Oryzias latipes: one gene and its partners. The protein of the gene in region 3 interacts with the protein of the main gene of each other region in a pairwise test. Links are inferred from orthologs where the notes say so. Each region holds a gene or a part of one and is shown on either strand. Other genes may lie near its edges. The genes, in order: ech1, acot8 and pex5.

Evidence for each region.
Region 1: the proteins of pex5 (region 3) and ech1 interact in a two-hybrid assay, tested with the Homo sapiens proteins (2 studies listed by BioGRID and IntAct, with this or other methods). The link is inferred for Oryzias latipes from reciprocal best matches to the Homo sapiens genes PEX5 and ECH1.
Region 2: the proteins of pex5 (region 3) and acot8 interact in binary tests that used the Homo sapiens proteins (3 or more experiments, as listed by UniProt). The link is inferred for Oryzias latipes from reciprocal best matches to the Homo sapiens genes PEX5 and ACOT8.

What each region holds. Positions count from the first base shown.
Region 1 is NC_019871.2:2,469,203-2,479,272, forward strand, and holds ech1 (delta(3,5)-Delta(2,4)-dienoyl-CoA isomerase, mitochondrial), read left to right. Parts: upstream 1-4,298; 5' UTR 4,299-4,428; exon of another isoform or gene 4,429-4,500; 5' UTR 4,501-4,627; coding exon 4,628-4,655; intron 4,656-5,329; coding exon 5,330-5,495; intron 5,496-5,572; coding exon 5,573-5,661; intron 5,662-5,730; coding exon 5,731-5,855; intron 5,856-5,920; coding exon 5,921-5,969; intron 5,970-6,384; coding exon 6,385-6,449; intron 6,450-8,313; coding exon 8,314-8,384; intron 8,385-8,456; coding exon 8,457-8,528; intron 8,529-8,602; coding exon 8,603-8,753; intron 8,754-8,819; coding exon 8,820-8,924; 3' UTR 8,925-9,091; coding exon of another isoform or gene 9,092-9,127; 3' UTR 9,128-9,159; downstream 9,160-10,070. Other genes in the region: ints4 (integrator complex subunit 4), read left to right, coding at 764-857, 935-1,015, 1,092-1,222, 1,312-1,368, 1,928-2,087, 2,158-2,301, 2,375-2,495, 2,571-2,758; aamdc (mth938 domain-containing protein), read right to left, coding at 3,042-3,182, 3,248-3,343, 3,408-3,539; cep295 (centrosomal protein of 295 kDa), read right to left, coding at 9,092-9,127, 9,193-9,292, 10,051-10,070. UniProt on the Homo sapiens protein: Isomerization of 3-trans,5-cis-dienoyl-CoA to 2-trans,4-trans-dienoyl-CoA.
Region 2 is NC_019863.2:23,240,968-23,251,090, reverse strand, and holds the start of acot8 (acyl-coenzyme A thioesterase 8), read left to right. Parts: upstream 1-5,229; 5' UTR 5,230-5,270; coding exon 5,271-5,452; intron 5,453-9,045; coding exon 9,046-9,182; intron 9,183-9,288; coding exon 9,289-9,514; intron 9,515-10,123. Other genes in the region: phosphatase and actin regulator 3, read right to left, coding at 1,511-1,628. UniProt on the Homo sapiens protein: Catalyzes the hydrolysis of acyl-CoAs into free fatty acids and coenzyme A (CoASH), regulating their respective intracellular levels. Displays no strong substrate specificity with respect to the carboxylic acid moiety of Acyl-CoAs.
Region 3 is NC_019874.2:20,506,356-20,515,885, reverse strand, and holds the end of pex5 (peroxisomal biogenesis factor 5), read right to left. Parts: intron 9,088-9,530; coding exon 8,997-9,087; intron 8,769-8,996; coding exon 8,646-8,768; intron 6,317-8,645; coding exon 6,203-6,316; intron 5,867-6,202; coding exon 5,783-5,866; intron 5,492-5,782; coding exon 5,372-5,491; intron 5,191-5,371; coding exon 5,047-5,190; intron 4,818-5,046; coding exon 4,747-4,817; intron 4,536-4,746; coding exon 4,314-4,535; intron 4,194-4,313; coding exon 4,028-4,193; intron 3,930-4,027; coding exon 3,772-3,929; intron 3,580-3,771; coding exon 3,333-3,579; 3' UTR 2,579-3,332; downstream 1-2,578. Other genes in the region: cdca3 (cell division cycle-associated protein 3), read right to left, coding at 1-45, 124-1,044, 1,130-1,247, 1,335-1,466.

The DNA of each region.
Region 1 (10,070 bases), on a different chromosome or scaffold from region 3:
GTCCTTCACACGCAGGAAGTCCTTCACACACAGGAAGTCCTTCACACGCAGGAAGTCCTTCACACACAGGAAGTCCTTCACACACAGGAAGTCCTTCACACGCAGGAAGTCCTTCACACACTGGAAGTCCTTCACACACTGGAAGTCCTTCACACACAGGAAGTACTTTTAGAGCCTGCAGCCGTTTGGAGCGTAAACTTCTGAAGAATCTGTGCAGCTGGAATCACAGGAACGCCAAGCTTCTAGGAGATGATCTGGCACTTTACCTTTAACGTGTCTGTGATTTTAAATCTTTACAAGTACATAGATGGTTTTATCGCATGCCGAGTCCTTTGAGCAAATGTAGAGCCACAGGAGCTCCTCAGGGCTCAGTGTTGGGCCTCCTTCTGTTGCATAAACCACCAACCAGCAGGAGATGACTGTGTCCTTCAATTCACAGATTCACGACCAAAGTCAAAAATTGCAGAAAAACCACCCACCATGACAAAGATTTCAACATTTACAGCTGTTGTTCTCCAAATATTCCTAAACATTTGGATTGACTCTTTGGTTTTATATAATTCCAAAAATTTAAAAGTATTTTAATGATCATCATATTACTGAGTTTACCGTCTAAAGTAAAGTTTCACCAAAATTTTAAAAACTAATACATTTGCACAGTTTGACAAAAACGTGGTTTAAAACCAGGAAAAAGTCCGGAGGAATCCTCCGTCCCGGCTGTGTGAACATTCCCTCAGCTGCTCTCCTCCCGTTTGTCCCGCAGAGACCTGCAGCGGCTCGGAGAGCTGCAGACTGAACTCGCTGGAGCTGCGGATTTCTGCGCCACGTACCTGCGCTGCCAGCTGCTGCTCATGAAGGTGGGAGAGGAACGCCGGCAGGCCTCTTCCAGAAGCTTCCTCAAGCCGTAAAAACTCACAAGTCTTCGTTCCTCCAGGCTCTGCAGGAGAAGCTGTGGAACACGGCCGTCCCTCTGTGCCTCAAACAAAACGTCACGGCCACGGCCGCAGCTCAGCAGGTCAGTGGGCATGCACACGCATGCACGCACGCCTCTGTAGGAGCAGCAGCTCTGACCGAAGCAGCTGTGGTTTCAGATTGTGGAGGAAACCTACAAACTGGAGTTTCTCTACAGCGGCTTGGAGAACCGGCAGGTGGCCACCATCCACCACGTCCGACTGCAGGCCAAAGCTCTGCAGCTCATCCTGACGGCTCGCACCAGACAAGGGTCAGCGCAGCCGCCGCCGCACACACACACACACACACACACGCAAGAAGTCATCATAAGAGGAATCAAACGCTCTGCTTTCTCCCCAGACTGGATCCTCTGGTCAGCAGCGAGAAGTTTCTTCAGGAAGTGGAATCTTTTCAGAGGTCAGCGCCTTGTTTGTTGGTCCCTTTGGTACCCTTAAGTGTTTTTTGTTTTTTACTCTTTTCAACGATCAAATCTTTGTTTTTCATCAGATATATATGTGTGTGTGTGTGTGTATGTATATATATATATATATATATAATATATATATACACACACATAGAGTTTATATAAAAAGTTTTTCTTTTTATATAAAAACATGAGTTGGATGCAGTGGTAGCTTTTCTAAATTCAAAAATTATTTTTTGTTTTGTTATAAAAAAGAGTTTCTACTTGATAATATATAAACGTATTTAGTGTTAAAAAATAAAAAACTATAAAAGGTCAAAGACAAATATTTTTTAAGAATTTTGTACTTTAAACAAACAAAATCCTATTGAACGACCCTCTGAATGTCCTCAGTCTGTAGAAAGAAGAAAACGAATCATCTTCAGGTTCCTTAAAGACCGTCGCTGCTGCAGGACGTTTTTGTTTCTTTTTGACCTTTTTGAATTTCTGAGGTTAAAGGTTGAAGCGGTCCTGGAGTTCAGCCCCTCAGTCGGTGTGTTTCTCTTCCTTCAGGCAGTTCTTGCCGGAGCTGCCCCACCTCCAGGACAGCTTTGCAGAGAAGCTGCTGGAGCTGATGCCCCGCTTGTCGTCCTGCAAGCCGGTGGAGCTGGTGAAGATCCTGCAGGCCACGCTGAGGCAGAGCGGCGTGCCGCAGCTCCGGCTTCCTGAACGGGTCGGTCGGCAAAGTCCAGGGGGGGCGCCCGCTCTTAGACCGGCCCGCTAACTCCCGCTCTTCCCAACAGATCCACAGAGCGACCGCCACCATCATCGAGCCCACCGGGGAGTCGGACAACCCGCTGAGGTTCACCACCGGCCTGGTGCTGGCGCTGGACATCGACGCCACGCTGGAGCACGTCCAGAACCCGCAGAACACGGTGAAAGTGCAGGTGAGGCTGCTCTCACCTTCTAGCGACATTGATCTAGAAATCTCATTTCACGATGAACCGGATTCTTCTGCAGGTTCTGTATCCAGACGGCCAGAGTCATGTGATCCATCCCAAACCCGCCGACTTCAGGAACCCCGGACCCGACCGGCACCGACTCATCACACAGGTGTACCTCTCTCACAGCGCCTGGACAGGTGGGTTTGAGGAGCACGCAGCCCCCCCCTTCACCTCTTTGAAGATACCAATCACTCCTCTCCTCCCCTCCTCAGAGCCCTCACAGATTGAAGTGCGCCTCCTGCTGGCCTACAGCTCCGCCTCCTCCTCTCCCTCCAAAAGTATGACGGGATGGAGCGACAGCTTCGACGGGCCGCCGCCCCCGGAGCCCGCCGTGGAGGGAACCATTCCGTTCAGCAAAGCCGTTAAAGTTTACATCATGCCTAAACCTGCCCGGCGCTGACCTGACATTCTCCCCGACCCGGATCGACCCAACAGAACCCTCTGCCATGTTCACCTGTAGATAATAAAGTATTTGTACTGCAGAGGAAACTGAGACGTGCAGAAGAATCTCAAACGTTTATTTTGTTTCTGGAACTATTGTCTGTCGTCCCATTTTGGTTCCGTCCTCCAGAACTTTTTTCTTTAGGTTCTGGTTTCCACGGCAGTGAACCATTTCACCAGAGACTCGATAACCAGAAGCGATTCAGCTGGATAGGATTCCCATCAGATCCAGAGACAGCAACTCAACAGGTGGAGTGGAAGACTCCACCCACTTTGGCGCCCTGCGCAGCCATCTTGTTGTATTCGGCCACAGCCTTCTCGGTCTGGAAGACCTGAACGTCGACCCCTTTCTGCTTCACAAAGTCCAAAGTGGAGGGAGGAACCTGAGAGGAACCACAGCTGTGATGTGGGAGCCCAAAACGTCAGAGGTTTCTCACCAAAGTCTCACCTGCAGAGCTTCATTCATGCCTCTGCCGATGATCAGGAGCTCCGCCCCCTTCTTCAGCACCTCCTCCAGATCAGCAGGCTGAACCCCTGGGTGATGCTGCAGATGAGAGCAGCATGAGAACCTGTCCACCGCTCAGGTCTCCTGGTTCTGGTTCACTCACATTGGTTCCAGTCTCTCTCCAGTCCCAAGCCCGGCTGCCTCCAGGCCACACCTTACAGTCCTTGTAGCTGGAGGAGCAGCCTTTCACCTTCATGTGGCCCCATGACAAGGAGGCGATCTCAGGGGAGGACATGATGAAATGGAGCAGGTCTACTGATGAGCTGCAGCAGCCAAAGCTAGGTTCGGCAAGCGCTCCGTTCCAGACCAGAACCTCCTAAACTGACTTCACAGACGGTTATTTTGTCAAAAATGAGGAAAAGGTACAGCCTCACCGTTTATACAGAGCTATTTGTACTGATTTATGAGAAAACTTGGAGCGGAGACTTGAGCTGCTGTTTACTTGTAGTCAGTGGCGTCACATATAAGCCACGCCCCCGCTTACTCCTGATGTTCTTAAAGGGGAAATGATTTTTTTCGCAGTATAACTACTTTCTCGTAGGATTTCTTAAAAAACACATAGAAGTCCAAGAAATAAATTTATTTATTTAAAATACTTATTTTTGAAAATATGTAATCAAAAGAAGCCAATTTTCTTGTTAACTCTTAGCCAGAGTTTCGATTTTTGACACTTTAACATTTCAAAAGTTTTAACATTAGTTGTTATGGTTACCCAAACTAATTAATAAACTTGTTTAGTGTTCAATGGATTTGTTTTCATCAAAGACCCTTTAAAAAAAGGGTGATCACCCGTTTAAACTATAACCCATTGTTTGCTTTATTTAAATGAAAAATTATTTCAACGTATACATAATAAAATAAAATGAAAACATTTAAGTTTTTCTTTTCTATTTCTTGTATTTAAAGTATAATCGCTTTCGCTTTTCATGTAAAAAAAACACATCAGATTTGTCATTCAATGTCTCATTCTGAACGGAAGGTGGCGGTAGTGCGCCGCCGCGGCATGAACAAACCTGCGTCATCCAGGAAGAAGAAGAAGCAGAACAAATTACTTACTCAATCTGAATTTTTAGCAAAACTGATGGAATATTGTTTTAGATGTCCATAAATATGAAATATTGTAGGTAAGACCTCAGTTTTTAAATGATTATCACTTTAGCCTAGGCGCATTATTAACGTTAGCTTTCGGTCAGCAGCAGGTGAAGAGGACTAACTAACTACCCCCTAGGAGTAGGACTAACTACCCTCCAGAGTAACTACCACCCTGCAGTGCACCGGGCGTGATTGGTTGCTCTGCTGGAACTGATCTTTGGTCAAAGGTCCATGTTGTCGGTCGGATTCGCCCTGAAAAGTAAGTTTTCATGCTTTTGTCTCTTCTGCTTCACTTGAAGGTGAATCTGGGTGAAAGGGGACGCACGCGCCATTTGGTTCAACGTAGTATTTATTTATGTTTATGTTTTTTCTGCAATTTTAGTTTGAATCTACTTCCAGTCCGTACAGTTACCTTTTTAATAGACTAGTTAATAATTACCCAAGTGAAGTTAGCAATCTTTTTTATTTATCTGACGAGATATATATATAGAAATATATTTTTAATAGATGAAAAAGCATCAGATGTGTTGGGTAAATGTTAAAATATGTATTATAAATATTTGTTTGATTTATGATTTGATTTGAATAATGAAAAAATTTAATTTTAGTTCAGCAAATGTAAAAGTCTTTTTAAATGCATGTAGTTTAAAAAATCTTAATTTATAAATAAACAGTCAATAAATCATATTACTATGATTACTATATTACTATTAGGTATCGCATCTACATTTTATTTACTTTATTTGAGTTAATTTATGCCGTTCCTTAAAATAATGTACTGGTTTTATGCAATAAACTACCTAATTTTTATCTTCTGTTAAATAATTTATCAGTTATATGTACAATATTGTAAATATGCTGTCAAACTTTTTGTATAAATGTTTTGTGAAATTCAGTCAAACTTTTAATTTTGTTTTCTGTCTATCGGCTCAGCTGGGCGGTTGTGGCGACCCGCTCAGGTAGCGTGCAGAACCATGTCGTCTGCAGGTGGCCCCGCCCCCTTCACCACGCTGGCCGTCAGCCGGCCCACAGAGGCCGTCACACACGTGGAGCTGCACCGACCAGAGAAACGCAACGCCATGAACAAAGCCTTCTGGAGGTGCCAGCTTCGCGGGCCTGAACTCTTCAGGGGGTTCCGGGTTCTGGTCTCTGAGGAAAGTTCTGGTTCTCTTGCAGGGAGATGGTGGAGTGCTTTAATGAGATTGCAGAGGATCCGGTCTGCAGGGTGGTGGTGGTCTCTGGATCTGGAAAGCTCTTCACTGCAGGTGGGACTCGCTGACTTTGACAGCTCTGATCCGAGTCAGACGAGTCACTTTCTGCTGTGTGAACGACAGGTCTGGACCTGATGGACATGGCGGGCGATATGCTCCACCCAGAAGGAGACGACACGGCCAGAGTCTCGTGGAACGTCCGAAGGCTGATCACCAAGTACCAAGAGACGTTCTCCGTCATCGAGAAGGTCAGAGTCCTTTATGGTGGTGAGGCTCATCTGCGAGTTCGGCGCTGATGGCGGTTCTGTTTCAGTGTCCAAAGCCTGTGGTGGCGGCCGTCCACGGTGGCTGCATCGGTGGAGGTAGGAGGTCGTCCACACTGCACTTTAGAAGAAAAAAAAATCTTTCTCTTTAATCAAAATCAGTTTTTACAATCAATTTAAAACAAGACTATATTTTAACCTCACATTAATTTATGTTTACCTCCATAATGTGCAAATAAACTCAAATAGTTTTTGGTGTCATTCCGTATAAAACAGCTGTGTTGTAATATATATAAATCAAACTGAATTGGATTAAAAACTCCTCCATTTCTGAACAGTCACCTGATCAGCTTTCCATTCATGATAAAGAATGACGTGTTTACATCGACTAAGGGAAAATGAAAACTAGACCTTTAGGTGGTTTAACGCTGAACTCACCTGTTTTGGCGTCCAACAGGATTCGTTGGTTTGTTTTTGTAATATCTGCTGTAAATGCAGATTTGTGCTTCATCAGGAGTTGACCTGATCACCGCCTGTGACATCCGCCTGTGCACCCAGGACGCCTTCTTCCAGGTCAAGGTAAATATGTTGTTCTTCATGGCAAAATTCCAGATTCACAAAAGTAAATTGGCTAATAAAAAAACTGAATTCTTCTTACTGAAATTGGAACTGCAGAAACATTTAATAATAATAATAATAATACATTTTATTTCAAGCGCCTTTCAGGTCGCCCAAGGTCGCTGTACAAGGTTAAAATAAGAAAAACAGAATAAAAAAATCAATAAGAAATTATCAGAGTAATACATGAAATACATAAAGATAAAAATCAATAAGACATAATAAAACAGGATAGAAAAAAAGTTTAAACAGGATAAAAACAGGATAGAAAAACAGACAAATGTGGTTGTGTTTACTGAATGGATTAACTGTATGATTGTTTGAAGAGATGAGTCTTGAGTTTGGATTTGAACAGTGGGAGGGGGTCAGTATTGCGAAGATCTGGAGGAAGAGAATTCCAAAGCTGGGGGGCGGAGCGACTGAAAGCTCTGCCCCCCATGGTGGCAAGACGGGCAGGTGGGACATGGAGTTGGAGAGAGGAAGTGGAGCGGAGAGATCAGGAGGGAATGGAAATGTGAAGAAGATCAGAAATGTAGGGTGGAGCCAGGTGATGGAGTGCTTTGAAGGTGATGAGGAGAATCTTGAAACTAACCCTTTGTTTTATGGGAAGCCAGTGTGAATTTTGGAGAACTGGCGTGATGTGGTGGGATAACGGGGTCCTAGTGATGATGCGGGCTGCAGAATTTTGGAGAAGCTGCAGTTTCTTGGGAGTTTTATTGGGCAAAACAAACAGGAGGGAATCACAATAATCAATTGGAAAAGTGACAAGACTATGAACAAGTACACCAGTTGTATGAGGAGTGAGAGAAGGGCGGAGACGAGATATACAGCGGAGATGAAACTAAGCAATACGGGTGATGATATGAGATTGGAAAGAAAGTGAGCTGTCGAGTATTTAAAATCAATTTCTGCTTCAAAAAGTAAAAATGCTCATAAAACGATTAACATCTGTAAATTTTTGGGATTAGTGACATAAGTTAACCATTTCTGGTTTTTCTTCCTTTTATTTCTTTTTTTTGTTATTTATTTCCTTCTGTGATTGCTTCATTTGGTTATTATTGAACACCAGTTTGTGTAAAAAAAAATTTATATTTTAAATGGCCCCCTGGTGTTCTAAACAGGAATTAACTGCAAAATCCAGTAGACTTTTGTGTCCGAATTCCTTCCCTTCTCACTATATAATGTGGTCACCATTTTTCTAGTGCCGTTGCTGCGAAAAACCAGTGTGCATTGATGCTCACATGCTCATCGGCGAATACAGACCACAATGCATTGCGTTGAAACAATTTTTGCCAGAAAATGTATTTTAATTAAAAAAATTTAATAACCCATTCAAGGTTTTCATGTTTGGAAGACAGTGGACTCATAAATAATCGTCTTGGATTAATCCGGTTTCTTGCTTCCGTTTCTGCTGATACCTTTTTTTTTTTTTTTTAATTTTTAATCCTCATTTTTTTCATGACAATTTTTCTGTAGTTAAAGTTATAAACTGACCAATCAGATGCCTCCATAAAAGTAGGTGGAGCCTGCAGACCCCACGTCTCAAAGCCTGTAACTCATTCATGTTGTCCACTTTCAAGTGGTAGGGGTGTGGCCTTCCAACAAGCTCATTCCTGATTGGGGAGAGTGGTTGCCACAGAAACACTGTACCTTTTGCTTTTTTGAGTGTGATGAACAGAAAGTTCTTTGTTGCACCTTTAGCTGGAGTCATTCTGTTCGTTTACATTTGAATGAAAAACCTTTTCTTTTCTTTTCGTGTTGCGTGTAATGAATCTCTGGAGATCTTTGAAATGTTCCTCGGCGTGGATGTTTCTCCTGTCTTCAGGAGGTCGACATCGGGCTGGCGGCAGACGTCGGGACTCTGCAGAGACTCCCTAAAGTCATCGGCAGCAGCAGGTGAGACCCCTCAGGAGCAGAGAAGGCTGGAACATTTTACGGCATGTTTGTGGCTCATCTTCCTCTCTGCAGCCTGGTGAACGAGCTCGCTCTAACCGCTAGGAAGATGTATGCAGATGAGGCGAAAAGCTGTGGTCTGGTCAGGTAAACCTTCACCAACGCTCCCTTCCTGCTCACCAAAAGGATTTCAATGCGAAAAAAAACCTTCTTCTGTGCAGTCGAGTGTTTGTGGATAAGGACGCCATGATGGCCGGAGCTCTGGAGATGGCGGGGGAGATCGCTGCTCGCAGTCCGGTGGCCGTGCAGGGAACGAAACTCAACCTCATATACGCCAGAGACCACAGCGTTGCTGAGGGCCTCAACTACATGGTGAGGAGCTGCATTCACCGTAAACAACAGCAGCATGCAGCAATAACCAGGCGTTCTGTTTTTCAGGCCACGTGGAACATGAGTATGCTGCAGACGGCAGACGTGATGAAATCCGCCCAGGCCTCCATGGAGAAGAAGAGCCCCAAAGACGTGGTTTTCTCCAAACTCTGAGAGTCAGAAGGACTTTGTGTGGAGGAATCCTGACTGATCTTTTCCACTAAAACATTAACCTTTGTTAAAATCAATTGAACAGAAAGTGTCTGAAACATAATTTCAATAACTTAAAAGCTTTAATGAACTTCAGAATCATAATTTAAGGTAATCGATTCCAGCCGTCGTCACCTCTGCTTGGCACGAAGTTTGTGTAAAGTTTTCTGTGAAGACAAACATTAAAGTTTAAACTCTGCTGTGGTCTGGAGCAGCTTCTTTCTGTTCTCACCATGTGAAACTCTCTGGCCTTCAGCCGGTTCTTTGCATAGTCCTCCTGTCTGCTCCTGAAGGATCTCTGCTGCTTCACCTCCTCCAGTTGCTCGTAGAGTCTGCACACAGACGCTGGAGTTAAGGCCCGCACACACCGGGACGAATATTCGCCAGGCGTTATTCGCCAGCGTTTTTCGCCACGTTTTTTGTGTTCACACCCAGGCGATTTTCGCTGACGGTGAGCCGAGCGAACATGCAATTTCATTCCCTGACATTAGATGGCGCTTAATGTAAAACAGAAATACTCCTGTACACAAGGTGGCGCTGCGCAACTTTACGATTCTTAAAGTCGCTTTTCACTCAGAAGAAGATAGCAAGTATTTACGCGCTTGTCAGAATAATACAAAGAAAACATGAATATTTCAAGCATCAGTAGCTCCAACTGGTGCTTGGTTCAGGGATATTTTAGAATGTCCGTCATTATTTCTTTGCGGCAGTGTAGACGCTACTTGGCGTCTAACTTCTTCGCTGGTATGTGTGCTCAGCAAGGCAGTTTTGTGTTTGAGCGCCCCCAAGTTGTGTTTTACTGTAACTTCAGAGGCTCCAGACACGTGTGCAAAAGCACCATTCTCATTGGTCGAATAGATTTCGACGCGACGCGTCAAAAAAAAAAAACGAACCCGAGGCGTTTTTTTTTTTGACGCTTTGTCGCGTGGCGTTTTTTCGCGTCGGTGCTCACACTCTCATTGGTGCCCTTTGTTTAGTCACGAGGCGTTAAACGTCGGCGAAAATCGCCGGCGAAATTCGTCCCGGTGTGAACAGGCCTTTACTCCACCGGGGCTCTGGAGAGCACGTGGCGTGTGATTTGAGCGTTTACCTGCGAGTTCTGCGGTGCAT
Region 2 (10,123 bases), on a different chromosome or scaffold from region 3:
TCCAGCTCCTTGTATGTCATCGGACTGCTGGCAGCAGCTGGACAGGCCAACCCAACAGGCTGTCAGGTGGAAATCAGGAGAATATCTTTGAATTGGAGTCAGAATCTTCACATCAGTGTTTGCCTGGAAAGAGTTGCATCATCGTTCTTTTTGAAAAAAAGCCCCATTTCGATCATCTCTTGATGTATTTTGAAGAGGTTTCTGGTGATCTTTTAATTATAATTATGTCATTTTTAGCCCAAATGAAAAAAAACTCAGTCCTGGGGAGAAGTGTTGGTGTGGAGCAACCCCGCTCCCCCTTTCCATCACCCATAACTAAGAACTTTCTGTGTACACTCTAATGCTACAGCTTACAGCCCCTCACACCCCCAATCTAACATCTCCGGTGCAACAACAATGGCCAGCAATAGTGGAGCTATCCAGCCGTACAGTTTTGAGTCAGATGGACGAGGAAGAAGGGAGTTCAAGGCCTGCCCATCATATTTTATACGTGACAAATACGCTCTTTTTTTGTCTACTCCTGATTCACAGCGACTTCAATGAAAAAATACTCAGAAATGTCATTTCATTCTTTAAATATGTCCTCCATCATGAGAAAAATGCCAGAAATTTCTCCACAGTAACATGATAGGAAGCTCCACAGGGAAGGAGGAGGTCATCTGAAGATGAAGCAGTTTTGAAGCTGATGGGCCGTGACGCGGCCCAGCAGGGGCCTGGAAATGCCAGCGCCGAGCGTCACGATGAAAGTTTGATGCGGAAGGGTGGAATGTGAAATGATATCACAAGACAGTCCTTCAGGGGGTTGACTCAGTGTTTCACAGAGACCGTGCACCGCCGTTATGCAACCACAACATCCACGGCGGTGTGGATGGAACTTGTGGAGCTTCTGCAGCAGATGGAGGGGGCTGATGTTTGGACACCACATGTGTTGTGATTCGGGGACGCAACGACAGCTGCTTCGCCTCTGATGATGAATTCCAAGATGCGATCAAAGCAGTGGATTTAATGAGGTTCGGTGTCAACCCACTGCATTTCCCCTCATGGCTGGAGACGCTGAGCAACAGTGATGTCTGCAAAAATCCAATTCAAACGCAGTTGTGCATCACTGATTGCATTCAGGAGGGGGGGAAGAAACTGGAGCAGACAAACGGCATGTTGGCTTACAGTAGGGCCATTGGGATCACCATGGAAACAGCTAAATACACCTGCCAGCCTCCATGAAAAGGGGGGAGCTGTAAATTCTTCATGGGCTGCAGCAAAATGGACCACAATGATACAGCGAAGGATTTGGCAGCCATGGCAGCATCATGAGGAGGAGCTGCTCCTTACTGCAGCAGACATGGATGACACCAGTTGGAAACATTTGACAGCATCATTGAAAGGACCACACACACACACAAACACACACCAAAACCCGCATGAAGCTGCCTCGTGACGCGCGTTCACAGCCTGCGTGCACACTCAGAAAGGAACCCCAAAAATGAAGACAGATGATGCGGCTGGACGGTACCTGCTCCCGGAGCATCCCCCGCGGCCGCGCGGACCTCCGTGATGCTGCTCGGGTCACTCCGGGATCTCCCGCGCCTCAGCGCGCGGTCCCCGTCCAGCCCTGTGGACGATGACGCCATGGTGGAAGCTGGAGAGGCGACAGCAGCCAAGGAGCCAAGGTCAGCGGCATCAAGTGGCGGAGCAGACTCACCGTCTGACTGCTGCTGCAGCCGCGCAGGGAAATCCGTTACGCGCGCAGCATCGTGTCACCTTCAAGGGCTGCTCGGAAAGAGCAGCCCGCTGTATGGAACCCCAATCTTGTCAGCGTGATTTAAAAGTAAAAAACAGGAATCACTCTAGCATAAATCTTTGTCTGTTTTTTTTCAGAATATGATTTATTTAAAAAACCTGTCAATTCATCGAAAGAAAGAAAAATCAAAATATAATTGTCTTGAGACAAGACAAAAACAAAAAAGAAGAGAAAAAAATACATCAAATCAAAAATATTTATGATCATTCAATTTCACATAATTCCAGATAATTATAATCCATTTCAATCCAGATCATATCTGGATCCTCAGCTGTTTTTTTTTAAATAGCCCAGGGCCACCATAAAAGAAATTAAATAATAAATATATGGGAAAATGAAACTGAAGATAAAAAGGCAAAATGTTATGAGAATAAAAAAAATTATCTGAAAAAGTAATTTTTGGAATAAAGTTGTGAAACTTTGAGGAGAAAAAAGTCAAAATTTAAAAGCAAAGTAGTAGTAAAATCAACAATGGGCATTGTTGTAAAATATAAAAACAAAAGTCAATATTTTATGAGAATGAAGTCATCAAATCGTGAGAAAAATTTCAAATTTCATGAAATATGTTGCAAATTTGTTAGAGAAAAGTAAAAATTGTGTGACCAAAGAACTACAATTTCGAGAAATATGTCAAAATTTTACAATAAAGGAAGTTGTAAAATTATGAGTAAAAATGTCAAAATTTTAAGAAATAAATCATAACATTAAAGTAATAAAGTCGTATGTTGGATGTATATACTTTATTTTCTTATTCTTCTATCAACTGCTGTTTGAAACTGTGATTATAGTCTGTTTGACCTTACATTGAGTTTGCAGTGCTGGAGTTTTTCTGCGTGGAAAAAATATGCATCAGATGAACAAGGAGTGTCGAGAAAACAGTTAAAGATTAGAAACAGAACTGAAGAACTTTCCACTGATCCTCCCATTTCTGCTGTGAGAAGAAATGAGAACTGCTGACTCTGCATCCCATAGATTTCTTTGTAACCAAAACCCATTTGTTGAATGAAAGGAGGACGTCGGACAGACATCTATAGAGCTGCTTGGGGCAGTGGTGTCAAAAGGTTGTCAGTTTCTGGCTCTCCTCACCAGAAATCTTACTGGGCTCCTGATTCTGTTCTTTAATACTGTCTTGTGTCTTCAGATATAACCTTGCATTCATTCAATTAAGAGAAAAAAGTTTCAACTTTATGAGAATAAAGTTTTAAAAGTATGACAAAGAAGTTAAACTGTGAAGACAATAAAATCAAAATATTAAAATAATAAGGCCATAAATTAATGAGAAGAAATAGTCAGAATTTTACAAGAATTGAGTTGTATGATTATGAAGAAACAAAATTCCATGTCTTAAGGAAAAATAGTCATTAAAATATGGGAATAAAGTCAAAACAATAAAGTCATAAATGTTTGAGAAAAAAGTCAAATTTTCACAAAAATAAAATCAACCAATTATGAGCAAAAAGGTCAAATATGAACGATTATAAAGTCTAGAAGTTATGAGAAAAAAAGTAATAAAATGTATTTGAATTAGATCCTAAAATTATGAGAAAAAGGTCAAAATTCTCTGAGCAGTTTCTTTCCACGTATTACTGCCCTGTTACATCACAGATGGTTATTCTTCATCACTCCTTTGGATTTATCTCATCGTTTTCTTTCTTTTAATTCACAGTCACAAATCCTCCACCACATCCATTCATCACTCTCCACCACAAGCTCAAGCCTCCAGATCCAGATTGCCTCTCCTTTAGTGTCTCTATGGACACCGTACCCTCAGTCTTTTTGGATGGCATCCCCGACCCGTCTGTCCATCACCTTGTAATCCCTGCTTCAGAGATCCATGGAAAGAGACCACACTGATAATACACACGGTAGTAGCAAAGGATCAAAAACGTTATCAGAGCTGCTTGTGGCTTTCTCACATGGTTAACAAAGACATAAAGGAGCTGCTCCGCACATTCAGATATCTTCTGTATTCTCCTTCAACTCTTCTTTTCATATTTCTTAATTCAGATGTTTTTCAAGCGGCCACCAACTCCCAACCATCTTCCAACTTCTCCTCCTTGTACGGCGAAAATACCCCATCCTCTCTTTTCCACTAACTCCTAGCCAAGACAGAAATCATGAAAAATCACTTAAAGAAAATTACAATCGAGTTTCCTCTTTAATTTTAGCTAATAAAAGGCTGAACAAAAACCATTTAAACAAATGTGGCATTTCCTGATGCTAGACAAAACATCCTTTATGTCAATCAAGTCAAACTTTATTTATAAAGCATTTTTTAGACATATGTAACACAAGAGATTTAAGTATCCAGAAACTGATTCAGGAGTTGGTCAGTGTTGTCCAAAAGGTAAATGTTGTCCAATGGGGTTGATCAGCCAGAAAAAAGAAAAACAAAAAGGATACTCATGGAAAAAGAACTCCAATGAAAATGGTGTTTTTAACATGTTTTTGTAACATCTTACTCATGATGGATGATATTAATAAAGACAATTAGGATTCAAAACTGCCTTTCTCAGTATTTCTTTATTCAAATAGTTGTGCATCAGGAGCAGACAAAAAAATGCAGTTTAAAGAACTTATAGATGTGGCGCAGCTGTTATGGTGGAAAAGCCACAAGTTCCCTGCTCTGCTCCATTCTGATGCATCCACTTGTAGACTATTTTAAATCTTTAGATTTAAATCATGTTTATTTAGGCAAACTGGCCTTGTTGATGGCAAAATCCTAATTCACACAGCCCCTCCACAGGGTTCTGTTTAACTGCCTCGATATTTTGGTTGATCTCTCCCCCCACATAGTTTTTTCTTTGCATTTCTATGCTGATGACAAACAAATCTTTTTGTATCATCCGCCATTAGATGTGGCAGTGTGATCACACATCTCCTACTGTTTCAAAATGTTCTCCTTAAATGGGAGAAACACATCTTCACATCATGATCCTTCTGCCAGCCCTTTCAAACAGCACAGCTTCACCGTTAACATTAGGTTCTGAGTGACCATTGATTCTGCTTTTCTTGGCCTTAAACTGACATGTATTAATCAAACCTTTACTGAAAACAACAACGTAAGCAATTTTTCCTTTTATTTAAAAATAAATGGAGGTCTATTTATAACTACTGTGCTCGTTTTTTGATCTATTGTAAAAGCATTCCCAGTAGTCTTTTTTATTATGGCTATGCCCTTTTTAGGCGAAATCAAAAACACGTGTCGTTTTCTGGGACATAGTTTCTGCAAACCGGCAGGAGTTGTGGGTGAAAAAAATTAAATCTAGGTCTGACATCCAAAATTGTGTTTAGCTGTAATTTTTAGCATTATGAGACTATAAAAGCTACATAGTTGTTTTTTAATTTAAATGCCCAAATTTTAAACTTTAAAAATAAATATTTAGTTCTAAAGTGTAAAATCAAAAGTCGCCTGAAGGTGGCAGCAGTGAAAACGTCAGTCCGTTGCAAGTCAAAGAAGAAGAAAGTCGCCATGACTAACATTAAAGTAGAGGAAAAGACCTCAAAATCGGGTTGTATTTCAGCTCTAGAAGCTCCGACAATGTCTGGAAATGACGGCGCAGACAAAGCTGAGTCTGGGTTCACGCAGGACTTGAAAAGCGTTCTTGTTACCAGCGTTTTAAACCTGGAAGAGCTCGACATCGACCTGTACAGGTAACACATAGTACAGAGTTCCGTCACTTTTTCCTGAAAAGAAACGCGCAGTTCAGGAACATCACGGAAAACTCAACTATAAAGTAACCCGTTAGCACGGCAGACAGGTGTATGACCAAACGCCGTTCGTTTTTGTTTTCTAAATGCTAAAAACATCTAGCTTTTTGCCAAGGAAACACTACTTCAATTTAAACGATCTTTAATTTATTGCTTTTCATTATCCATTTTTATCAACTTAAATTATTAAGTTTGTTTCATATAAAAAAAACACATATTTTTTATAATTACGAAACACTGAAAACGTCAGAGTTCGGAACTGAGCTTCTGTGTATTTAATTTTCTCGCTCTTTTTGCTAGCTTTATTCCTGTCACTGAAATGAAAACCAGGATTTTTAACTCCTTTACATCGTTCTTATAAACTATGTTTTGTATTGTGTTGTAATACATCAAATTCAACTAATTCAAAAATTACCGTGTGATACATTTAGTGATGTTTTGTTGCGATGCTGACGTCAGTTTTGATTGTTTTTACTTTTATTTTGCAACTAGTGGAAGTTTATTTCGGCTTTTGGCTATTTGAAGGCTGTTTCCGGTGTTTCTCCTGTTGACTTTTGTTCGGGAGAATGACATTAAGTTACATGGGCTGGGAATAAATATATTATATTATATTATATTATATTATATTATATTATATTATATTATATTATATTATTTATTTATTTATTTCTGACCATCATTGCATTTTTTTTTAACTTATCTTTTTCTGTATCACTTTCGCCTGTACGCAGAGAAGTCAGCTCTCGCATCCTTAACTCCTCCACAGCTGAGGTCTTTTCTAATGCTTTTAACCTGGTCCTTTCTCCGTGTACTGATGTTAATACTTTATTATGTAACTTTAACCGTTATTGTCTTTCCATCTTGGATGAAGTCTGTCCTGTTAAAACTAGACTGGCTCCTGTCACTAAGGTTTCCCCTTGGATTAACAATAGTATTCGCCGTCTCAAACAATTATGCAGGAAAGTTGAACGTTTATGGAAAAGAACTCACCTAAATGTTCATCTCCTTCATCTTAAGGATCTTTTAGTTTCTTTTAACAATGCTGTTAGAGATGCGAGGGCTGCATATTTCACTAATCTCATTTCCAAAAGCAGAGGTAATCCTAAAGTGCTGTTCAACACTATTAGTGATATTGTTATGCCCAGTCCACCTGCCGTTCCCATCCATTCAAATGATGATTGTGAAAAGTTTTTATCATTTTTTATTGAAAAGGTCAGATCTGTGAGAAGCTCTCTGTGTCACACAGCTGGTCCTGGCCCTGGTTCTTTTCCTGGTCCGCCTCGTCCTGTGATTTTAGACACTTTCTCGCCTGTTTCCCTCCCTGAGCTAGTCAGATTAGTTGGCACAATGAAGTCATCCTCTTGCTCCCTCGACACGTTGCCAACTTCTCTGCTCAAAGATGTCTTCCAGTCCATTGGTCCCTGTGTCCTGTCAATAATGAACTCGTCTCTGCTGTCTGGTCAAGTCCCTGAGCACTTTAAGGAAGCTGTTGTACTTCCTCTCCTTAAAAAACCTGGGCTTGACCCCTCCCTCTTGAGCAGTTTTAGACCCATTTCTAACCTTCCTTTCATGTCTAAAATTTTAGAAAAGGTTGTTGCCAAACAACTTACAGCTGCTCTCGACAGTCATGGGATATTTGATCATTTTCAGTCAGGTTTTCGCAGAGCTCACTCCACTGAAACAGCCCTTCTCAGAGTCACTAATGACATCCTGATGCAGGGTGATGCAGGAAAATGCTCTGTGTTACTGTTATTAGACCTGACCGCAGCCTTTGACACTGTGGACCATAACATCCTCTTGGACAGGCTGAAAAACTGGGTTGGGGTCTCCGGATCAGCCTTAAACTGGTTTTCATCATATTTGACTGGCAGATCTTTCTCTGTTGTCTTCTCCAAGTTTAAGTCTTCTTCTGCTCCTCTCACTTCTGGTGTGCCCCAAGGCTCAGTTTTGGGACCTTTATTGTTTATTTTATATCTGCTGCCTTTACAGCATATTTTAAGTTCTTTTAATGACATTTCTTATCACTTTTATGCTGACGATATTCAGCTTTATGTGTCTTTTAAACCCCAGGATGTTTTTAAAATACAGACTTTACAAAAGTGTTTGGACTCAGTTAAGAGCTGGATGAATCACAACTTTCTCCAACTCAATGAAGCCAAAACTGAGGTCCTAGTTTGTGCTCCTGACAGTTGTCTCCCCAAGATAATCCATGAGCTCGGCTCACTTGCTTCTTTTATCAAGCCCTCTGTCAGGAACCTAGGTGTAACTTTAGACCCGGTTTTATCCCTGGACTCCCATGTCGGGTCACTCGTTCGCTCTTGTTTTTATCATCTAAAAAACATTGCAAAATTGAGTCCAGTTGTGTCCCGTTCTGAGATGGAGATGCTCATTCACAGTTTTATATCCTCCCGTCTCGACTATTGCAACTCCATCTTCACATGTTTAAGTAAAAAATCTCTAGAACGGCTCCAGATTGTCCAGAACGCTGCTGCTAGGCTTTTAACCAATTCATCCAAGTTCTCACACATCATCCCGTTGTTAATGCAGCTGCACTGGCTCCCCATTCACTACAGAGTGCATTTTAAAATCCTGGTCTTAACATACAGAGCTCTTAATGACCAAGCACCAGTCTACATAAAAGACCTGGTGCAGCCATACACTCCCAGCAGGTCACTGAGGTCATGTGACCAGGGTCTGCTGGCTGTTAAGAGAACCCGTTTAAAGACTAAAGGAGACAGAGCCTTTGCCACGGTGGCCCCATCCCTCTGGAACTCTCTTCCTCTCAGCCTCAGATCTGTGGACTCGGTGTTTTCTTTTAAAAAGCAGCTAAAAACATATCTTTTTAAAATAGCTTTTTCTTAATTTCTTTTTAACATGTGTTTTTACTGTGTTTTACTGTTGTTTTATCGTGTTGTACTGTGAAGCACTTTGTGATTTTTATCTGGAAAGGTGCTATACAAATAAAGTTTATTATTATATTATATTATATTATATTATATTATATTATATTATATTATATTATTATATTATTAGGGGTGTGACGATAAATGCATCACCGCAGTTTATTTTATTTTTTTAAAGTTCTACATATAGTGCGTGATTGGAACTGTAACAAACATATTAAACACATTGATCTTTGCTGATAATTTACTTTTTCTGCTAGTCCTGTGTTCAGACTTTAAGGGCTTTTGGGGGAATCCTTTTATTACTGTTTTCCTTCACTCCCTCTTCTTACACACGCGGCGGTTTCAGCAACACAGGAGACAAATTTACTGTGTTCTCATTATTAATTTCCATTGTATATATTATATTATATTATATTATATCATATTATATTATATTATAATTGTTTGTCATAACAAATATAGCAGCACCTTTTCCCTTTAGCGTTGTGTTGCTAAACAAAGAACAATGTATTTTTGTGTTGTTTTTTTCCCCCCAAAGGCTGCAGATAGAAAGGATTTCTGGTTCAAACATTTAGCAAAGATCTCTGACATCCTTGACTTATGTTTAGCAGTTTTTTTTGTCGTCCTCAGGGGAAGACATCACTGGGTGCCCCGCACTCAGAGGCTCTTTGGAGGCCAAATCATTGGTCAGGCTCTGGTGGCGGCAGCCAAGTCTGTTGGCGAGAACCTATACGCTCACTCCCTGCACTGCTACTTCGTACGAGCAGGTGGCACATCAACTAATGCTTTATTTTGCAGCACCAAAATGTAATAATCTATAGATAACATTTTTTTTCTCCTCTGTTTTTCATGGACGTGTTGTTTTTTTAACAGGGGACCCAAAGGTTCCAGTGCTGTACCAGGTGGACCGCACCAGAGATGGCCGCAGCTTCACTGTTCGCTCTGTGAAGGCCATCCAGCACGGCCAGCCTATACTGATCTGCCAGGCGTCCTTCCAGGTGCTGCAGCCCAGCCCTCTGCAGCATCAGTTCAGCATGCCCGTAGTTCCTCAGCCAGAGGAGCTGCCCACTGTGGAGGAAATTATCCACCAATATCTCAGGTACATTAATCCAGTTTAGTAGTTTGAGATCCCCCAAAGAGATTTTCAGAAAGAAAAGAAAAAATATTTAACAAATTATTTGTATCTTTTTTCTATTTTTGAAGAATTAGCTATTTCTAGTGGAAGCCTTCCTGCCATTTTTGGTGTGGGTATGCAGTAAATAGATCTACCTGAGCATAAAATTCACAACAAAACACAGCGTGAAATATAACTTAATTTTATTTTTAAATAATTAGAATGTTTGCACTTGAACAGCTGTTAAGCGTGTTCAACTACTTTCTTTAGCTAATTTAGCATCATTTAATTTAGCTAACCTGTCCAACATGACTTTTTATACCTGTCAAACGTTTACTTTAGCTATGTTTTGCTAACACATTAGCATACAATCAGCAGTTTTAGCATCTCATTAGGGTCTTCCTTTCTTTAGCTAATTTAGCATAGTTATTGTTTAGCTTTTTCAACTTGCTCAGCGTACCGAGCTTATTTCAGTGGGTTTTAAGTTTTTTGCTTTATAACATTTTAAGTGCAACAGATTTGTTTTCTCTACACTTTTAAAGTTTATATTAAATTTATATTGATTTAGCATTTTTAGCAACATGAATGTATTTT
Region 3 (9,530 bases):
AGTTGTTATCCTTCAGGATCTGCAGCGGGGAGCGGCCCTCGGCATCTGAGTAGAAAAAAAAAAAAAGTAGTTAGGCCACATCCTAAAGAAATAAGGGAGTGCTTCCCACCACCACAAACACACCTTTTTGCTTCGGTTTTCCTGTCTTGCCTTTGTTTTCATTGGCGATGTTCTTAACTGCAACACGAACGGCAAGAGGGGAGGAGCCTCCTCTGCCATTATGACCCTGCGCAACCTTGGCTCTTAATCCAGTGGCACCAAAGCCTTTACCTAACCACTGCGGCTTGAATTCCAGTTGGCTGGGACTCCTCGGGTCAAAGGTGGGACAACAGATTCCAGTACTGACCGGTGGCTGCTTTAGTTTGGAAGGAGTTGGTTGATTATTTAGCACAGAAGGCACAGAAAATTCTCCACCGAGCTCACTAGGCCCTTCAGAAGATGGAAGGTTCTCCTTTTTTTTTGGCTCTGCAGAAGGCATTGGAGCAGCAGATGGGTCCACATCAGAAGAAGCCGGGGGCTCCGATGTCTCTGGTTTAACTATGACAGAAGGAAGGGCATAGGAATGATCAGCACCGTCCCCGAGAGCCTTCACTTCAACACTAGGTTCTGTGAAGAAGCTCGCTTCGTGATGCACATCAGCGTAGATTTGAGCTGAAGTTGCCCCTTCGTGGCATGTTATCAGGCTCATGCTCAGTCTATTGTTAAGAGGAGACGCGCTTGCTTCTTCGGCCTCCTCAAAGGTAATATCCGTCTCAGTTTCTATCTCCACTTCGACCTGAGGATGCTCCAGAAGCACAAAGGGACTGCAGACACTCTGCAGGGATGGATGAACAGGGGTGGAGAGAAGATTTGCATGTTCGGCTAACGAGCCAAAGTTTTTGCTCGAGTGAGGATTGAGCAGTGGCACAGTGGAAGCCAGTTCTTCACCCTCAAGGACCTCCTCAACAGCATCTGTGAAGTGTTTCTGAGGGCCTTCTGCAGCTTTGCCTTCAGTCTCATTGTGGAACAGCATACCAAGGCGGCGAGCTAAAGACCCAACTGTTGCTATTAGAAGAAAATGAAAGGTAAAAATCAGACTTCGTTAGCAAAACAGGGGAAGATTAAAGGCTCATTCAAAAAAATTATTTACCTCTCATAACCTCTCTGACAGGAGTGCGGGTTATGCCAACTGTAGGTGAGCGAGGATCTGTTATGGCCAGGGGACACTCGCCTTTTAATTGAGAAACATTGGACTCCTGTTCTCCTACCTAAGATGCACAAATATGAATTGAATTGTTAGAATTTGCAGTTGCAGCAGCAAATAAATATGCAAACAAAATAAAAAATAACCTCACTTGAATGGGTGTTCGATCTATGCCGCCTGAGGGAGAGCGAGGATCAACCAGATGGCTGATGTGGGTTTTTTTAAAGGCTGGTTCTGGCTTCTTCTCTGCTGGCACAGCCGACTTGCTCTCACTTGATCCCATAATGATTTTATTTTTCCTGCATAATTTTAAGAAATAAATAGCAAGTCAGGTGGATTTGTAGAAAAATAAAAAACTTCGACAACTATGAACATGCAGTATGTTTCACATCTAACTCTGTACAATTTAGTAAACTTTCAGGATAGAATTGGAAATTTTATATATTTTTTAAATATATTTTTTTACGTATCTTGAAAAAGGTATACTTTCATTAAAAGTATGTGTACTGAATGGTAAAAACAACATGCATTCAGTGAGTAGGAATCACATTTGAGTAATATTCAGGTTTTTCTAATCTGCCATTTCCTTTCTACAGCATAATTTACAGTTTAAATAATATTAAGTAATATTAATTAATTAATTTTTGTTCTTCAACAAAACGTTCAAATGTGAATTAGACATGTATGCAAAGATCATCAACTGGCAACTAAACTAAGTCAGCGTGAATAAACAAGTACGATTTAATTCAAAATGTGCTTCTATCTTTAGCCAAACGGCGGCTAAATGACCTTATGACCATAAACAAGAACACATATTTCACGGACATTGACCAAAATGTTGAACAAACATACCTTATACAAGACAAAGAAATCGCACTCTGACACCGACCCTCTCGGATACTGACAAATCCAAGACAAACGACATAAACAGGAACACTCAACTTTTAAAACATTTAAATGTCGTGGGCTGCGTGGTTGTTACATTCAAACGAGCCAATAAGAAAGCACTTCCGCTTTAACTACGCAGTGCTCATTGGCTTAAAAGTTGTACCTCATTAATATTGGGCGTGGCTACCACTGATAACACAGTTGACCGTTGAAAAATGTCCGCACAGCTAGCTTATCATTTACTTTTCAAAGAAATACATTTTCAATTGGGAAATTTACCGCCATCAAGCAAACTTTCTGCCATCAAGCAAATGCGATCATTATAATAAATAATTTTGCATTAAAGTAATTTATTTACGTACATATATGCTCGTTTCTACTTTTCCACTACACATCGAATAGCACGTGCTTATTTAATGTATGTTCTGGTTTCCTAAATGGTCAGTCTTCCATCATCTACGACTATTCTTTCCCCGCAGATAATGTTTCAAGACCCAACAAACCAGATATCTGCAATCAAAGCTTTATTGCCGAATATTATATTAAAACCTTGCAGTCAGGGTACAAGCAGCCTGAACACAATTGTAGTGCACCATTATATTACAATCAACATTATGGCATATGCAGCTATTTACAATGAAACAAAATTTGTTTTACAAGAGAAAATACAGGAAAGAGGGCAATTTAAAGGTACCCTCCCCCAAACTAAATGCCCCCTCCCAAGCAACCATAACATAATACAAGTAACAGTCCTGCTGGTATTCTAGATATGGTGATGGCAGAAAAATTATCAAAGAAAATTTAATTTAAATTAAAATAAATTTGTAGTCTAAATCATTTGACTTGAAGCTGCTCTTGTTTTTAGCGCTGCATCACCCGTGTACCGTCGTCTGCACACGTGCCAGAGTGAGCACAGTCTGACTTGGCGCCACTTACTACAGAAAACAAGGAAATTACTCATGCGTTTGCCTATTTTATCTTCCAAAGGTTTAGTATTACTGCACCTCAATTGTTCATACAAACTCTCGCTTGCTGCTTCCCTCCACCCACTGACAAATACTGCAAACCTGGTAAACATGGTCATCTACACAAATAACCACATGATAAAAATAGTGTCTAGCACAGTGGATATCACAGTGTCTTCCTCTGGCATGTTTCTTTACATCAAACCATTAGGTTTCAGCATTTTTATTCAGTCATCCAAACATTTATCTCCCAGCAAAGCACATTCACACTTGATGAACCCTCCCCTGACTGGTCCTCATTCCGTCCCACCATCAGCGTCCCTCTGGCTGAAATGAGCCAGCAGCATATCCAAGTCTCGCCGGTCAGCTGCTGCGTACAGAGAGCTCTCGCCCATCATGCTGAGAGCCATGCGCAGGGTTGACCAGATGTTGTCAGACATCACTGTTCCTGTGATACCTCCAGGGCCCTGCGGAGCTCTCACACCGTCACCCGCAGCCTGCCGCTGCAGAGACAGAGCTTCCAGGAAGTGCTCCACAGCCTCTCTGCGAAGTTAAAAATAACAAAAATTTTAGATGGTGCAACATTTAAATCCCATTCAGTCAACTATTATCAAAGAGCAACTACGTTTATTCTGATATGTTTGCTTGAAACTAGTTTTGGTTAACTAGTATTATAAACAAAACAAAAAGATTTTTTTTAATTTTTTTTTTTACAAAATTTAAAAGGCTCCCCACCTGTGGGCACCTAAGTTAACACAGCTGATTCCCAAATTATAGCGACTGCGGACAAAACCTGGCTGAAGTTCCAGAGCTCTCCTGTAAGCAGCCACAGCCTCTTCTGATCGGCTTCCGTTAGCTAAAGTGGCTCCCAGTTTATTCCACAACAGATAATCCTGTCAGGAAAAAAAAAGAAAGGCAAAAAGCAGAATAAAAAAAAAATTCACACACACAGTACGTTATGAATATCTCAGAAGAGGATCTTTGCTTTAACCTGGGGAGTGACGGAGAGGGCAGCACTAAAGCAGTCCACCGCTTTGTCATATTCTCCACTGAGGTTAAAGAGGACTCCTAAGCCACACTGCAGCTGTGGGTCCACCTGGGTGGGGTCTGCATTGGCTGCACGCAGGAACATGGACTGAACATCAGTAAATAGCGACCTGTGTAAAATAACCAATAAGAAAAAGTGGAAAAATTTCAGTTAAAACTGCCACGCAAAAAAAAAGAAGATAAATACATAAATATTTAGAGGCTTAAATTTCCTCATCTACCACACTCACTCTGGCAAAAGGGACCCGAACCTCTCGCTCTCCTTCTCCCTGTTTCCAGGACCGTCTTTTTGGCGTTCATGCTCATGCTGCTCCCACACAGAGCGATATTTAGGATTGTGCTTTAACCAGTCACGAAGAGTCTCACAGGCCTGCCTGTGCAGCGACTCATTCGTAAAGCTAACAGCCAGCGCCATCAGTGCTGTCAAATTGTCCTTTTTCAGATCTATACACCTAAAAATAACAATGGGAGGAGGAAAAATGTCACTCAAAGAAATTAGAATATATATTTTTGTTTCCTACCTATTGCTTAAAACAGAATTATAGAAAATGGTTTAGCTAAATATTATTTACTGCACTTAAACTTGCAGCACTTCCTGGCGAGACAGATTTCTGCTTTGAACATTAAGCCTGTAGGCTGGATTTTTCACTTCTGCATTCTGACCTGCGGAGGGCGCTGATGGCAGCAAACTCTTGCTCGTTTTCTGCTTGACAGGTACCCAGATATTGCCAAGCCTGCAATTTAAACGTAAAAATAGATACACTTTATTTCACACTCACCTTTTAAATGAATAAACCTCGTTAATAAAAAAAAATATTAAAAGAAAAAGAATTACTATTGGTAATTTAATAAAACCATATTTTGCTTTCTGTTAAAAAGAAATGCCACAAACTCAATGTGGACTCTTTCCATTACAAAATGAAAAAAAATAAATGTTTAGCAACTAAAAACAGGAAATCTCACCAGCTGGTTGTCTGGTTCCTTCTGTACCGCACTTTCAAAGAACCGTACGGCTCCAGGAATGTCCCCTGCCTCCATCCTTTTAACCCCCTCTGACAAAGGGTCTGGGTGGGACAGGTAAGGATTGTCTTCTTCAAATTGATAACCCTAAAGTAAACAGAAAAAAAACACAACCAAACTGGTCAAAATGTTTTGATGATGATGAATCCAATGACAAATTATAAACAAAAGAACCTCTCGGGCTTACAGCAGAATGTAATACAACACAAGGTTTCAACATCAGCACCATTTCTCAAAGGATTCGAGCATGGAGGAGGTTGACAGCTACCTTGTCATAAGAAGAGCTGAGTAACTGATCAAAGTCAGACAGCCAGGGATGGCTCTCTGCATCTCTCTTGGCCATCTCCTCCCACTCCTGCTGCAGCTTCTCCCAGAAATCCACATCACTCTGACAAAATGACACATCCATTTTACAGTTTCCCACACAGTTCAAATCATTTCTCTACAGTGCAGACACTATTTGACTTTTGTTATCCACAGAAAAGCGTGGATGGCTTGAACGACCGTGTCAAGAAATAACTTCAACTAAAACAGGATTATTTTGCTTTAATAAGGACATATTAAGATAAAATTCTTGATTGGATTTCTCCTCCTTCCTCTAAATTTATAACAAAAAGAGCTAAATCTCCTGAGTATCGGACAAAAGCTTTGGGTTTGGACTTAAAAAAGTTTGGCTCACCTCCACTGCAGCTTTGGCTTGATGAAAATCCGGCCCTGTTGTTGTGAACTCATCTACCCATGCTTCAGCCGACTCCTCTGAAACCTGTAGAACAATAAAACCATTGGCAGCGGATGACAGAAATCTACTAGCTAAGAAATCTGATGAGAATGGAGATCTGGGATGCTTCAAGCAGAAACATAACAACACAAGTATTGCAAAAGCAGCAGGAATGACAAAAGGGGAAAAAAGCCTTTTTCCTACTCCTTGCTTATTAAAAAAAAAAAGCCTGAAAAGGCTAAATGAATGTCGGCTGGGCTTATCTAAGAGTCTAAATGACAGATAAAAATCTATCAAAAAATACTAGAAGCAAAGCTCTAATAAAAAACAGGCACAACTACCCCTATATCCCTAGTGCTGCCGCCACTGCAAAGGTCCTACCTGCCTGATGACTTTGGCCCACTGCTCTGCTTGTTTAGCTTTAACTTTCTCAATCTTCTGACTCATCTCCTGCCGTTCCAAGGGAAGACTTCCTCCCCCCGTCTCCACCAGGAACTATGACGTGAGGTGGAAGGGTTTGGCGAAGGCACATGGGGCAATGATTTGAGGGTAAGGAAGCGGTGGGTAGGGAAAATTTTTGGGGGTGGTTGGTGGAACAGAGTTGTGTGGTTTTTTTTTTGTCTATGTTACATGACAAATGTAAAACATGAAAGGGGATGGCAAGCCGAAATGAGCAAAGCACATGACAATGTTGCATGATTATGAATTAAACTTAATCTAACTGGGATAGTCTATTTTTCTTTGGGTTGAGAAGGCAACATTTCAGCAAATAAGACGTGCTAAACAGCAGGAAGATAGTCTATCCTGTCAAATCAGCAGATAATGAATGAATAAATGAAACCAGCAGACACTAAAAACAAAGTTGGACACTAAACCCTGCAGTACCATGCTATAATAATGTGATTCACCTTTTGGGGTTTTGCTGATTTTTTAAAAACGTTTTTTCATTTTTACAGCACATTGTGCTCTGCATCCTGATTGGCTGTAGACCACTATCAATCAATCTGCCTCATGCTGCATCTCCTTTACAGAAAGCGTTCAGCTTGACTAGTTTACATCAATCTTTGCTTGCTACCAGCGTAAAATCGGAAGTGCCAGACTTTTTTGTTTTTGTTTTACAAAGGTTTGAATCTTTGAGAGTTAAAACAAGAGAGAATGTGTGAGAATGTTAAAGTTTGTAGTGAGGTTTTACAGCCTTAAACACACAACACAGTGTTAATATTAAAAAGTAAAAATCCTGTAGATTCTGTTTATCGCAGGTTATTTGTAGAAAGTAGCCCCTGCAATAAACGAGGGTACTGTACTGAAAACTACCAGTTTGTCGATAAAACGTTAACTAAAAATGAAGTTACATTGTAACAAATACATTCTCAATGACTTATAAACTTCTTTTTAACAGCTCTTGTCTCACAGCAAGAAGGCTCATGTCTTAAAAGGTCCTGGCTGGGGGACCTGAAACAGAATCAATGGGGGACATTTCTGTGTGGAGTTGGTTTTCCGGCTTCCTCCCCATCCAAAAACATGCTTCATAGGTTAATAGGTTACTCTAAATTGTCCCTAGGTGTGAATGTGAGAGTGCATGGGTGTGTGATTTCTGGCCCTGAGACAGACTGGCGACCTGTTTAAAGTGTACCCTGCCTTTGCCCACGAGTTAGCCGGGATAAGCTCTGGCAGCCCCGTCACCCAGAAAGGGATAAAATGGGTTTAGAAGATGAATGAAAAGTCACCTTTTTATTCTTAAAAAAAGTGTAAGATGCAAAACATGATCGCAAAAATGAAAAATGTCATGTCAGCACCTCTTTTCAATCAGCGTAGCCAGTTGACTTCACTTCTACATTAGCTTTATAATTACTGTATTCATTTTATTTATGTTTTTGTTGGTGGCCAAGGATGTCTGTATTTTTGGGGAAAAAAGTTGACTTCTAAAATGTGACATTCACTTAAAGACCCACTCCAATGGAAATCGTGTTTTTAACATTTTCTAGCGGCATGATTTTTCTATGGAAGGCATATATTAAGTACGTTAAGCTTAAAATTGAATTTGAGGATTTCTTTATTGAAATTGTTGTGAATCAGATGCAGACAAAATAATGCAGTTGGAAGAAGACCTTATTTGTGACGTAGAAAATAACCAAGCTCCCTCCTCTGAGCTCTACATCAACGGGGAGGGGAAGAGGGGGCGGGGCTGCTTTGTGGAAACTCCTGCTGCTCTCCAGAAACTATGTCCTGGAAAACGGCAGGTTTCTTGATTTTGGCTAAAAACAGCATAATCATAGTTAAAAGCTATTGAGAAGACTTTGATCAATAGATGATTGGAAAGGGACTTTTTTATTTCTGAGCTGCAGTAAATTTAAATACTGATGGAACACTGAGCTTTTGCTACCAACAAGCTGAACAGCTCAGATGTTCGCCAACAATGTGTATGGTTAGATTCAAAGCCAAAGCTGCTCTGGCAAAATCTTCAATCACTGTAAAGCTTTTTAAATTCCCTGTATGAAAGTCGTATTGCCTCGAGTCACCATTTTAACACCTTAAACTTATTATTAAACCTAAACTAAATTTCTAAGAGGAAAAGCTAATCGTGCCGAGTTCTTCTTTTCAAAACAAATTGGATCTTCAGCACTGCGCAGCCTTGAGATTCCTACTACTAGGAAACTGGTGGCTGCTTTTGATTACCTTCATGGAAAATGGTGCACTGCATCAGATACTGGGGAGGTGAGTCACACTGCATAGCCTATGCAACATGAACCAATTTCATCCCCCCCCCCAAAACATACAGCTGTTAGTTGTAGCAATACCATCCTCAGAGGCCAGTGACTCCTACCTGGTTGAGGTTGGAGGCCCAGTTCTGAGCCTCCTCAGCCTGAGCTTTATCTGTGAGCTGTTTGTCTGCTCTGCTCTCCACTGTCACACTTCCCTCGCCAATCTGCCTAACGAATTTCAGGAACTACACAACAATGAGGGGAACAATAAAAAAAAGTAAAGAAAAAAAACTTTATATCACAAAATTGTTACTGAGCAGCGGTTTTAATTGGGGATAATTGGTTGTTTTTACATGACTCTTCTAATGGTTATAAAGCCAACACTTAATACTAAAGAACAAGAAACAATAAGGCGACAGATATGAAGGGAAAAAATACATGACTGATTCATGACAGAGCAGGACAGCACTCACCTCTGTGTTTTTTAACTTGGGGTCATCGACCTTTGCAACAAGTTCATTTGCCGTCTGCCTCAGCTCTTCTCCTGACTGATACTCTTTAGTCCTGCCAGACAAATACAAAATATACCACAAGATTGTAATAGAAGCAGAGCAACTGTTCTGTTATTTTCTCTTTATGTAGGTTGGAGATAATACTCAGGTTTGCTGAAGGCTGTGCTTTCAATAGACGTCAGTAGAAGCCAAGGCCGATATTCTATACATTAGCTTTAGAATTCAGACGGCCCTATATGTATGCATGGACAGCTCTGGGTACAATTAGCCTCAATGCATAAAGTTAGAAGAGGATAAAAGTAAATGGGTGGACATAAAACGACACATTCGCTTAAGAAAGCGTTCAAGGTTTAAATCTGCATTCAGATCTGTTATCGTTTGTCTCCCTTGGAGCTTTTCCTCTTTTGTTCCTGTAGGGGTGTCAGGCTGCCACTGCGCACTCACTGATGCTTGCCTGAAGGACTTTTTCCTGCAAACACTTTATTATCCACACGC